Saccharomyces cerevisiae S288C: one gene and its partners. The protein of the gene in region 1 binds, or shares a complex with, the protein of each later gene. Each region holds a gene or a part of one and is shown in the gene's direction. Other genes may lie near its edges.

What was found.
Region 2: the proteins of COX5A (region 1) and COX1 are in contact, whole or in part, in a cryo-EM structure (PDB 8DH6), measured with the Saccharomyces cerevisiae proteins. Residues at the interface, in NP_014346.1 of Saccharomyces cerevisiae: Ile75 (codon at 1,770), Ser76 (codon at 1,773), Tyr77 (codon at 1,776), Gly78 (codon at 1,779), Trp80 (codon at 1,785), Gly81 (codon at 1,788), Pro82 (codon at 1,791), Arg83 (codon at 1,794), Arg84 (codon at 1,797), Val86 (codon at 1,803), Leu87 (codon at 1,806), Asn88 (codon at 1,809), Asp91 (codon at 1,818), Phe94 (codon at 1,827), Ile95 (codon at 1,830), Gly98 (codon at 1,839), Val99 (codon at 1,842), Gly102 (codon at 1,851), Leu103 (codon at 1,854), Phe105 (codon at 1,860), Ser106 (codon at 1,863), Val107 (codon at 1,866), Leu109 (codon at 1,872), Phe110 (codon at 1,875), Val113 (codon at 1,884), Arg114 (codon at 1,887), Ala116 (codon at 1,893), Gly117 (codon at 1,896), Gly118 (codon at 1,899), Gln119 (codon at 1,902); in NP_009305.1 of Saccharomyces cerevisiae: Leu38 (codon at 2,028), Ala41 (codon at 2,037), Ala42 (codon at 2,040), Pro43 (codon at 2,043), Gln46 (codon at 2,052), Tyr47 (codon at 2,055), Arg333, Leu334, Ala335, Glu407, Lys408, Gln411, Ile412, Trp415, Leu416, Ile419, Asp445, Ala446, Ala448, Gly449, Tyr452, Ser455, Ile456, Phe459, Ile460, Leu463, Asn486, Ser488, Val489, Ile490.
Region 3: the proteins of COX5A (region 1) and COX2 are in contact, whole or in part, in a cryo-EM structure (PDB 8DH6), measured with the Saccharomyces cerevisiae proteins. Residues at the interface, in NP_014346.1 of Saccharomyces cerevisiae: Ala121 (codon at 1,908), Lys122 (codon at 1,911), Thr123 (codon at 1,914), Glu127 (codon at 1,926), Trp128 (codon at 1,929), Lys131 (codon at 1,938), Ser132 (codon at 1,941), Tyr135 (codon at 1,950), Leu136 (codon at 1,953), Lys139 (codon at 1,962), Asn140 (codon at 1,965), Ala141 (codon at 1,968), Asn142 (codon at 1,971), Pro143 (codon at 1,974), Trp144 (codon at 1,977), Gly145 (codon at 1,980), Gly146 (codon at 1,983), Tyr147 (codon at 1,986), Ser148 (codon at 1,989), Gln149 (codon at 1,992), Val150 (codon at 1,995), Gln151 (codon at 1,998); in NP_009326.1 of Saccharomyces cerevisiae: Asp16 (codon at 2,010), Val17 (codon at 2,013), Pro18 (codon at 2,016), Thr19 (codon at 2,019), Pro20 (codon at 2,022), Asp27 (codon at 2,043), Ser28 (codon at 2,046), Asp150 (codon at 2,412), Leu153 (codon at 2,421), Glu154 (codon at 2,424), Glu155 (codon at 2,427), Gly156 (codon at 2,430), Gln157 (codon at 2,433), Leu158 (codon at 2,436), Arg159 (codon at 2,439), Arg213 (codon at 2,601), Glu214 (codon at 2,604), Gly215 (codon at 2,607), Val216 (codon at 2,610), Tyr218 (codon at 2,616), Lys235 (codon at 2,667), Glu237 (codon at 2,673).

The regions. Positions count from the first base shown.
Region 1 is NC_001146.8:530,178-532,819, forward strand, and holds COX5A (cytochrome c oxidase subunit Va), read left to right. Parts: upstream 1-1,547; coding exon 1,548-2,009; downstream 2,010-2,642. Other genes in the region: tyrosine/serine/threonine protein phosphatase MSG5, read left to right, coding at 1-1,234; Golgi transport complex subunit COG5, read left to right, coding at 2,482-2,642. UniProt on the Saccharomyces cerevisiae protein: Component of the cytochrome c oxidase, the last enzyme in the mitochondrial electron transport chain which drives oxidative phosphorylation.
Region 2 is NC_001224.1:11,902-16,931, forward strand, and holds the start of COX1 (cytochrome c oxidase subunit 1), read left to right. Parts: upstream 1-1,916; coding exon 1,917-2,085; coding exon of another isoform or gene 2,086-4,421; intron 4,422-4,533; coding exon 4,534-4,569; coding exon of another isoform or gene 4,570-5,030. Other genes in the region: intron-encoded reverse transcriptase aI2, read left to right, coding at 1,917-2,085, 4,534-5,030; AI5_ALPHA (intron-encoded DNA endonuclease aI5 alpha), read left to right, coding at 1,917-2,085, 4,534-4,569; intron-encoded DNA endonuclease aI4, read left to right, coding at 1,917-2,085, 4,534-4,569; intron-encoded DNA endonuclease aI3, read left to right, coding at 1,917-2,085, 4,534-4,569; intron-encoded reverse transcriptase aI1, read left to right, coding at 1,917-4,421. UniProt on the Saccharomyces cerevisiae protein: Component of the cytochrome c oxidase, the last enzyme in the mitochondrial electron transport chain which drives oxidative phosphorylation.
Region 3 is NC_001224.1:71,794-75,150, forward strand, and holds COX2 (cytochrome c oxidase subunit 2), read left to right. Parts: upstream 1-1,964; coding exon 1,965-2,720; downstream 2,721-3,357. Other genes in the region: Q0255 (maturase-like protein), read left to right, coding at 2,702-3,357. UniProt on the Saccharomyces cerevisiae protein: Component of the cytochrome c oxidase, the last enzyme in the mitochondrial electron transport chain which drives oxidative phosphorylation.

The DNA.
Region 1 (2,642 bases):
ATGTCCACCAAAAGTAAGTCCAAGGCCAACGCCACCATCGCTGTCGATGAGGCGAAGCGAGGCCTCTATATACACACTACCAACATCTTTGAAGAACCGAACTGTTTCTCCAAGCGTGTATACAAAATCATCCACAGTATCGTCTATCAGTAAGCTGTCATCATCATCACCGTTATCGTCATTTTCAGAAAAACCTCATCTGAATAGAGTCCATTCATTATCCGTGAAAACTAAAGACTTGAAGTTGAAGGGAATTAGAGGACGTTCTCAAACGATCTCAGGGTTAGAGACATCCACGCCAATTTCTAGTACTCGTGAAGGTACTTTAGATAGTACGGATGTCAACAGATTTTCTAACCAAAAGAATATGCAAACAACATTGATTTTCCCGGAGGAGGACTCGGATCTGAATATTGATATGGTGCATGCAGAGATTTATCAACGAACGGTTTATTTAGATGGACCATTGCTGGTACTGCCGCCTAATTTGTATCTATATTCAGAACCCAAACTAGAAGATATATTATCGTTTGATTTAGTCATTAATGTTGCCAAAGAAATACCGAACCTGGAGTTTTTAATACCGCCGGAAATGGCACATAAAATAAAATATTACCATATTGAATGGACACACACATCCAAGATCGTCAAGGACTTATCCCGATTGACACGCATTATACATACCGCTCATTCGCAAGGCAAGAAAATACTCGTACACTGTCAGTGTGGAGTATCAAGATCGGCGTCATTGATTGTGGCGTATATCATGCGATATTATGGCTTGAGTTTAAATGATGCATACAATAAGCTGAAAGGTGTTGCTAAGGATATAAGTCCAAACATGGGTCTCATCTTCCAACTTATGGAATGGGGAACCATGTTGTCCAAGAACTCACCGGGCGAAGAAGGAGAGACTGTTCACATGCCTGAGGAAGATGACATCGGAAACAACGAAGTTTCCTCGACTACGAAGTCCTACTCTTCTGCGTCCTTTAGAAGTTTTCCCATGGTAACGAATCTATCATCGTCGCCGAATGACAGTTCTGTCAATTCTTCGGAAGTAACGCCAAGAACTCCTGCTACGTTGACTGGAGCAAGGACCGCACTGGCCACAGAACGCGGGGAAGATGATGAGCACTGTAAAAGTTTGTCTCAACCCGCAGATTCACTGGAAGCTTCTGTGGACAACGAATCAATATCTACTGCCCCGGAACAGATGATGTTTCTTCCTTAAGGGACAGCATCTCCCAAAAGAATCTTTATGACTATCAGATCTGCAGGCAGACCGCCTCCCTACGCTTCTAAATAGAATGTACTTAGCACTTCTGCCTACATAGTAATTATTCATCATTGTAAGTGTCACATTGCAAAAATCGTCCAATAGACGTTTTCCTCGTTTGTGATTGGCCCTACGTTTTGCGCCGATACAAGCGGCGGCGAAAAGTTAAAAAGAACAATCAATTAAATAAGAACCATCAGTCCTCGTATTTTGTCTTCTGTTTGCAAGCAATGCACCAAACACAAGATCAACTAAGAACGCATCTACAATGTTACGTAACACTTTTACTAGAGCTGGTGGACTATCACGTATTACATCCGTAAGATTCGCTCAAACACATGCTCTTTCCAACGCTGCTGTAATGGATCTGCAATCCAGATGGGAGAACATGCCCTCCACTGAGCAGCAGGATATTGTCAGTAAGTTGAGTGAACGTCAAAAATTACCATGGGCACAGCTTACTGAGCCTGAAAAGCAAGCTGTGTGGTACATTTCTTACGGAGAATGGGGCCCAAGAAGACCTGTATTGAATAAGGGTGATTCCAGTTTTATTGCCAAAGGTGTTGCTGCAGGCCTACTATTTTCAGTGGGACTTTTTGCTGTCGTCAGGATGGCGGGTGGCCAAGACGCAAAGACCATGAATAAGGAGTGGCAGCTAAAGAGTGACGAATATTTGAAGTCGAAGAATGCTAATCCTTGGGGTGGTTATTCTCAGGTCCAATCTAAATGAACAGGCCAGAAATTTTGAAAGGAAATCAATAGGGGTTAACGATTGTCATGGTTTTTTCAGCTAGTCTGTGACCTGTACGAAAGTGAATATCTTATTACATTATAAGTGTATCCATGGGCATCCGCCCAATACAATGCCAACATATCAAACATAAAATTGGCTGATTGCCACTCTCACATTTTTTCTTTATTTATTTACTCAAATTTTGTAATTTTTTGTTAGACATATAATTTTATATCATTATTCTTATTATTCTTATATTTAAGGGAACCCCCCTGGAATGAAATAAGCTAATATAGTATGAGGGAATCCTGTATAAATGGGTTTACCTTGTTATTCTATGCCTCCCTTTCAAAGACGTATTTCTTAAAAACTTCTCCATTTGGTTGAATACTATGAAAAAAAAAAAATCAACTAGAATAGATATGGAAGATAAAAATGTGTAACAAAAAAGAAGAAAAGAGCTGGAGGTATGACAATAGCGCCAATGGCAAACGATTTAGAAGATTTTGAGTCTCTGCTGGAGCCTGATTTTGATGCTAAACAATTTGGTAATGACTTACTGAAGGCTACTAATAACAATGACACAACCATTTTAGACCTTAACACGCCTCTTAAAAAGCTAAACTATGA
Region 2 (5,030 bases), on another chromosome or scaffold:
ATAATATAAATATTCATTTCTTACTAATTAATAAAAAGTTTTTATATTCATTATAATATAAATATATAAATATATATAAATATTTTAATAATTATAATTATATTAAGATATTATAAATATATATTTATTTTTTTTTATAAAATAAATAAATAAATAAATAATTAATATTTTTATATTATAACTTATTTTTATAATAATAATAAGTATTTTATTTTTTATTATATTATTATTTATATAATTATATATATATTAATTTCAATTTAATTAATTAATTAATTGGTATTTGGCATATAATATCAATTAATTGTAATTCTTATAAGAATTAATTAATTAATATGCTTTTTATATAATTTATACTTTTATATTTCTCCTTCCGGGGTTCCGGCTCCCGTGGCCGGGCCCCGGAACTATTATTATTATTTTTATTTATTTATTATTAAAATATAATAATAAATAGTCCGGCCCGCCCCGCGGGGCGGACGCCGGAGGAGAATTATATTTTTATATAATAATTTATATTTCTATATATATATATATATATTATATATAAATATTATTATATATATTTTTATATATATTATAATTATATTCATTAATATTTTATTATAGTGGTGGGGTCCCAATTATTATTTTCAATAATAATTTATCATGGGACCCGGATATCTTCTTGTTTTTATTTATTATTTTATTAAATTTATTTTAATTATTTATTTATAATTTATATTATACAATTTATTATTTCGTTAATACCTTTATTTATATTATATAATATATTATATTATTATAATATATTTATTGATTATATTAATACATTTAACTAATGTGTGCTCTATATTTATTGAATAGTTTGGTTCTTATCACCCACCCCCTCCCCCTATTACGTCTCCGAGGTCCCGGTTTCGTAAGAAACCGGGACTTATATATTTAATACTAAAAATATAACTACATTACTTTTTTAATATATATAACAATATATATATATATATATATTAATTATATAAAATATAATACTCTATATTAAATATTATTTTTATCAATATTTATTTATATATATAATAATAATAATAATAATCAATATTAATTATTTATATATATAAGATTAATATTATTTAATATATTATGAATAATTTAATTAATAAATCTTTAAATATTATCATAAAAATATAAATTAAATAATTTCTTATTTATAATAAAGAATAATAATATATATAAATATAATAAAGAATGTAAATAATATATATATAATATAATATAATATAAAAAATATATATATATATAAATATATATATAATATATAGATAATAATATTTTTATATAATTTATTTTATTATTAAGTAATAAATAATAAAAAAATCAATATATTAAATAATATATTTATATTAGTTCGGTTTAGTTGGTATTTTGTAATGAGTAAAAAGTAATATATAATATTAAATAATAAGTATTGATATAAGTAATAGATATAATAATAATATTATTAATATTTTATATAAATAATATTAATAATATAGATTATGAAAGAGAGTATTAATATCATTAAATATATATATATGTTATATAATTTAAATGATTTTAATATATATATATATATTATATTATAGATTATGATACATTTATATAAATAATATATATATAAAAATTAATTATACTATTACTTTATAATATAATAATATTTATTTATAAAGATATAAAAGAATTGTTTAAAGTTATAACTAAAATATTATATAGTATTCATTAATAATTAATATTATAAATTCAACTATTGTTATATTTATAAATAGAATAATATATTATTATCCTTTAAGATATAACAATAATTATTTAAATTAAATTAAATTAAATTTAATTAATTTTTTTTTTTAATGAATATAATAATAATAATATTATTAAAATTAATATATAAAAAAAAAGTAAAAATGGTACAAAGATGATTATATTCAACAAATGCAAAAGATATTGCAGTATTATATTTTATGTTAGCTATTTTTAGTGGTATGGCAGGAACAGCAATGTCTTTAATCATTAGATTAGAATTAGCTGCACCTGGTTCACAATATTTACATGGTAATTCACAATTATTTAATGGTGCGCCTCTCAGTGCGTATATTTCGTTGATGCGTCTAGCATTAGTATTATGAATCATCAATAGATACTTAAAACATATGACTAACTCAGTAGGGGCTAACTTTACGGGGACAATAGCATGTCATAAAACACCTATGATTAGTGTAGGTGGAGTTAAGTGTTACATGGTTAGGTTAACGAACTTCTTACAAGTCTTTATCAGGATTACAATTTCCTCTTATCATTTGGATATAGTAAAACAAGTTTGATTATTTTACGTTGAGGTAATCAGATTATGATTCATTGTTTTAGATAGCACAGGCAGTGTGAAAAAGATGAAGGACCTAAATAACACAAAAGGAAATACGAAAAGTGAGGGATCAACTGAAAGAGGAAACTCTGGAGTTGACAGAGGTATAGTAGTACCGAATACTCAAATAAAAATGAGATTTTTAAATCAAGTTAGATACTATTCAGTAAATAATAATTTAAAAATAGGGAAGGATACCAATATTGAGTTATCAAAAGATACAAGTACTTCGGACTTGTTAGAATTTGAGAAATTAGTAATAGATAATATAAATGAGGAAAATATAAATAATAATTTATTAAGTATTATAAAAAACGTAGATATATTAATATTAGCATATAATAGAATTAAGAGTAAACCTGGTAATATAACTCCAGGTACAACATTAGAAACATTAGATGGTATAAATATAATATATTTAAATAAATTATCAAATGAATTAGGAACAGGTAAATTCAAATTTAAACCCATGAGAATAGTTAATATTCCTAAACCTAAAGGTGGTATAAGACCTTTAAGTGTAGGTAATCCAAGAGATAAAATTGTACAAGAAGTTATAAGAATAATTTTAGATACAATTTTTGATAAAAAGATATCAACACATTCACATGGTTTTAGAAAGAATATAAGTTGTCAAACAGCAATTTGAGAAGTTAGAAATATATTTGGTGGAAGTAATTGATTTATTGAAGTAGACTTAAAAAAATGTTTTGATACAATTTCTCATGATTTAATTATTAAAGAATTAAAAAGATATATTTCAGATAAAGGTTTTATTGATTTAGTATATAAATTATTAAGAGCTGGTTATATTGATGAGAAAGGAACTTATCATAAACCTATATTAGGTTTACCTCAAGGATCATTAATTAGTCCTATCTTATGTAATATTGTAATAACATTGGTAGATAATTGATTAGAAGATTATATTAATTTATATAATAAAGGTAAAGTTAAAAAACAACATCCTACATATAAAAAATTATCAAGAATAATTGCAAAAGCTAAAATATTTTCGACAAGATTAAAATTACATAAAGAAAGAGCTAAAGGCCCACTATTTATTTATAATGATCCTAATTTCAAGAGAATAAAATACGTTAGATATGCAGATGATATTTTAATTGGGGTATTAGGTTCAAAAAATGATTGTAAAATAATCAAAAGAGATTTAAACAATTTTTTAAATTCATTAGGTTTAACTATAAATGAAGAAAAAACTTTAATTACTTGTGCAACTGAACTACCAGCAAGATTTTTAGGTTATAATATTTCAATTACACCTTTAAAAAGAATACCTACAGTTACTAAACTAATTAGAGGTAAACTTATTAGAAGTAGAAATACAACTAGACCTATTATTAATGCACCAATTAGAGATATTATCAATAAATTAGCTACTAATGGATATTGTAAGCATAATAAAAATGGTAGAATAGGAGTGCCTACAAGAGTAGGTAGATGACTATATGAAGAACCTAGAACAATTATTAATAATTATAAAGCGTTAGGTAGAGGTATCTTAAATTATTATAAATTAGCTACTAATTATAAAAGATTAAGAGAAAGAATCTATTACGTATTATATTATTCATGTGTATTAACTTTAGCTAGTAAATATAGATTAAAAACAATAAGTAAAACTATTAAAAAATTTGGTTATAATTTAAATATTATTGAAAATGATAAATTAATTGCCAATTTTCCAAGAAATACTTTTGATAATATCAAAAAAATTGAAAATCATGGTATATTTATATATATATCAGAAGCTAAAGTAACTGATCCTTTTGAATATATCGATTCAATTAAATATATATTACCTACAGCTAAAGCTAATTTTAATAAACCTTGTAGTATTTGTAATTCAACTATTGATGTAGAAATACATCATGTTAAACAATTACATAGAGGTATATTAAAAGCACTTAAAGATTATATTCTAGGTAGAATAATTACCATAAACAGAAAACAAATTCCATTATGTAAACAATGTCATATTAAAACACATAAAAATAAATTTAAAAATATAGGACCTGGTATATAAAATCTATTATTAATGATACTCAATATGGAAAGCCGTATGATGGGAAACTATCACGTACGGTTTGGGAAAGGCTCTTTAACACGTGGCAACATAGGTTAATTTGCTATTTCATTTTTAGTAGTTGGTCATGCTGTATTAATGATTTTCTGTGCGCCGTTTCGCTTAATTTATCACTGTATTGAAGTGTTAATTGATAAACATATCTCTGTTTATTCAATTAATGAAAACTTTACCGTATCATTTTGGTTCTGATTATTAGTAGTAACATACATAGTATTTAGATACGTAAACCATATGGCTTACCCAGTTGGGGCCAACTCAACGGGGACAATAGCATGCCATAAAAGCGCTGGAGTAAAACAGCCAGCGCAAGGTAAGAACTGTCCGATGGCTAGGTTAACGAATTCCTGTAAAGAATGTTTAGGGTTCTCATTAACTCCTTCCCACTTGGGGATTGTGATTCATGCTTATGTATTGGAAGAAGAGGTACACGAGTTAACCAAAAATGAATCATTAGCTTTAAGTAAAAGTTGACATTTGGAGGGCTGTACGAGTTCAAATGGAAAATTAAGAAATACGGGATTGTCCGAAAGGGGAAACCCTGGGGAT
Region 3 (3,357 bases), on another chromosome or scaffold:
ATAAATTTTATATTATAAATATTATTAAAATATTTTTATAAATATTTAAATTATTTATAAAAAGGTATATAATAATAATTATTAATATTATATTATATTATATATTTATTTATATTATATATAATAATATATTTATATATATATTAATTAATAAATTAAATAAGTATCTATATTTTATATTATATTATATTATTTTATTTTATTAATTCCGGAAGGAGAATAAAAAGTATTCTAAAGAAATTATATATTTATTATTTTTATTAATATGTTATAAATTAATAAAAAATAAATATGTATATATAAATTATATTTATTATGTTTAATTATTTATAATTTATTATAATATATAGTATAAGATATCTTATTTATATTTATATATAATAAAGAATATTATTAAACTAACACCTATATTATATATATTATATTATATAATATTATATATATATTAATTACTAAGAATAAATTTATAATTAGATAATATTTATATTTATTTATTTATTTAATTAACAAATATATTAATATTTTTAATTAATTAATAATACCTTTATATATATATATATATATATATTAATTTTAATTATATAATTATCTTTTTTATTAATAATTATAAATATATTATATATTTTATATAATAAGATTATAATTTTATAATTATTTTATTTTTTATTAAAAATTATTATTATTATAATTATTATATTATAATTATAAATTATTAAAGAATATATTTATTAATATTTTAATAATTAATATCTTTTATTTATATTTATAAAATAAGGTATAAATATTGATAATAAAGAGTAAATATTGTATTAATTATAATAATAATTATAATTAAGGAGCTTGTATAGTTTAATTGGTTAAAACATTTGTCTCATAAATAAATAATGTAAGGTTCAATTCCTTCTACAAGTAATAATGATTATAATATTTATATATATTAAAATAATATTAATAAATAATTACTCCTCCTAGCAGGATTCACATCTCCTTCGGCCGGACTCCTTCGGGGTCCGCCCCGCGGGGGCGGGCCGGACTATTTTATTATTATTAAATAGATGTTCATTAAATAATTATAAATATAATTTATCTTTTAAATATATATATATAATATAATATTTAAATATATATTATAAATAAATAAATAAATAATTAATTAATAAAAACATATAATGTATATTTATCTATAAAAAATATTAATTAAATTAATATATTATTACAGTTCCGGGGGCCGGCCACGGGAGCCGGAACCCCGAAGGAGATAAATAAATAAATAAATATAAATAATTCTTCTTCTTTAAAATTAAATAAAATAAAATAAAAAGGGGGGCGGACTCCTTCGGGGTCCCGCCCCCCTCCGCGGGGCGGACTATTTTATTTTTAAATATATATTATATTAATAATATAAATATAAGTCCCCGCCCCGGCGGGGACCCCGAAGGAGTATAAATAAAAATTAATAATATATTATATATATATTATATTAATAATAATAATAATAATAATAATAATAAATAATAACTCCTTGCTTCATACCTTTATAAATAAGGTAATCACTAATATATTATAATAATAAAAATTATATATATTATATATAATCTAAATATTATATATTTTAATAAATATTAATATATATGATATGAATATTATTAGTTTTTGGGAAGCGGGAATCCCGTAAGGAGTGAGGGACCCCTCCCTAACGGGAGGAGGACCGAAGGAGTTTTAGTATTTTTTTTTTTTTAATAAAATATATATTTATATGATTAATAATATTATATATATTATTTATAAAAATAATATATAATTTTAATTATTTTTAATAAAAAAAGGTGGGGTTGATAATATAATATAATATTTTTTATTTTAATTTATAATATATAATAATAAATTATAAATAAATTTTAATTAAAAGTAGTATTAACATATTATAAATAGACAAAAGAGTCTAAAGGTTAAGATTTATTAAAATGTTAGATTTATTAAGATTACAATTAACAACATTCATTATGAATGATGTACCAACACCTTATGCATGTTATTTTCAGGATTCAGCAACACCAAATCAAGAAGGTATTTTAGAATTACATGATAATATTATGTTTTATTTATTAGTTATTTTAGGTTTAGTATCTTGAATGTTATATACAATTGTTATAACATATTCAAAAAATCCTATTGCATATAAATATATTAAACATGGACAAACTATTGAAGTTATTTGAACAATTTTTCCAGCTGTAATTTTATTAATTATTGCTTTTCCTTCATTTATTTTATTATATTTATGTGATGAAGTTATTTCACCAGCTATAACTATTAAAGCTATTGGATATCAATGATATTGAAAATATGAATATTCAGATTTTATTAATGATAGTGGTGAAACTGTTGAATTTGAATCATATGTTATTCCTGATGAATTATTAGAAGAAGGTCAATTAAGATTATTAGATACTGATACTTCTATAGTTGTACCTGTAGATACACATATTAGATTCGTTGTAACAGCTGCTGATGTTATTCATGATTTTGCTATTCCAAGTTTAGGTATTAAAGTTGATGCTACTCCTGGTAGATTAAATCAAGTTTCTGCTTTAATTCAAAGAGAAGGTGTCTTCTATGGAGCATGTTCTGAGTTGTGTGGGACAGGTCATGCAAATATGCCAATTAAGATCGAAGCAGTATCATTACCTAAATTTTTGGAATGATTAAATGAACAATAATTAATATTTACTTATTATTAATATTTTTAATTATTAAAAATAATAATAATAATAATAATTATAATAATATTCTTAAATATAATAAAGATATAGATTTATATTCTATTCAATCACCTTATATTAAAAATATAAATATTATTAAAAGAGGTTATCATACTTCTTTAAATAATAAATTAATTATTGTTCAAAAAGATAATAAAAATAATAATAAGAATAATTTAGAAATAGATAATTTTTATAAATGATTAGTAGGATTTACAGATGGAGATGGTAGTTTTTATATTAAATTAAATGATAAAAAATATTTAAGATTTTTTTATGGTTTTAGAATACATATTGATGATAAAGCATGTTTAGAAAAGATTAGAAATATATTAAATATACCTTCTAATTTTGAAGAACTACTTAAAACAATTATATTAGTAAATTCACAAAAGAAATGGTTATATTCTAATATTGTAACTATTTTTGATAAGTATCCTTGTTTAACAATTAAATATTATAGTTATTATAAATGAAAAATAGCTATAATTAATAATTTAAATGGTATATCTTATAATAATAAAGATTTATTAAATATTAAAAATACAATTAATAATTATGAAGTTATACCTAATTTAAAAATTCCATATGATAA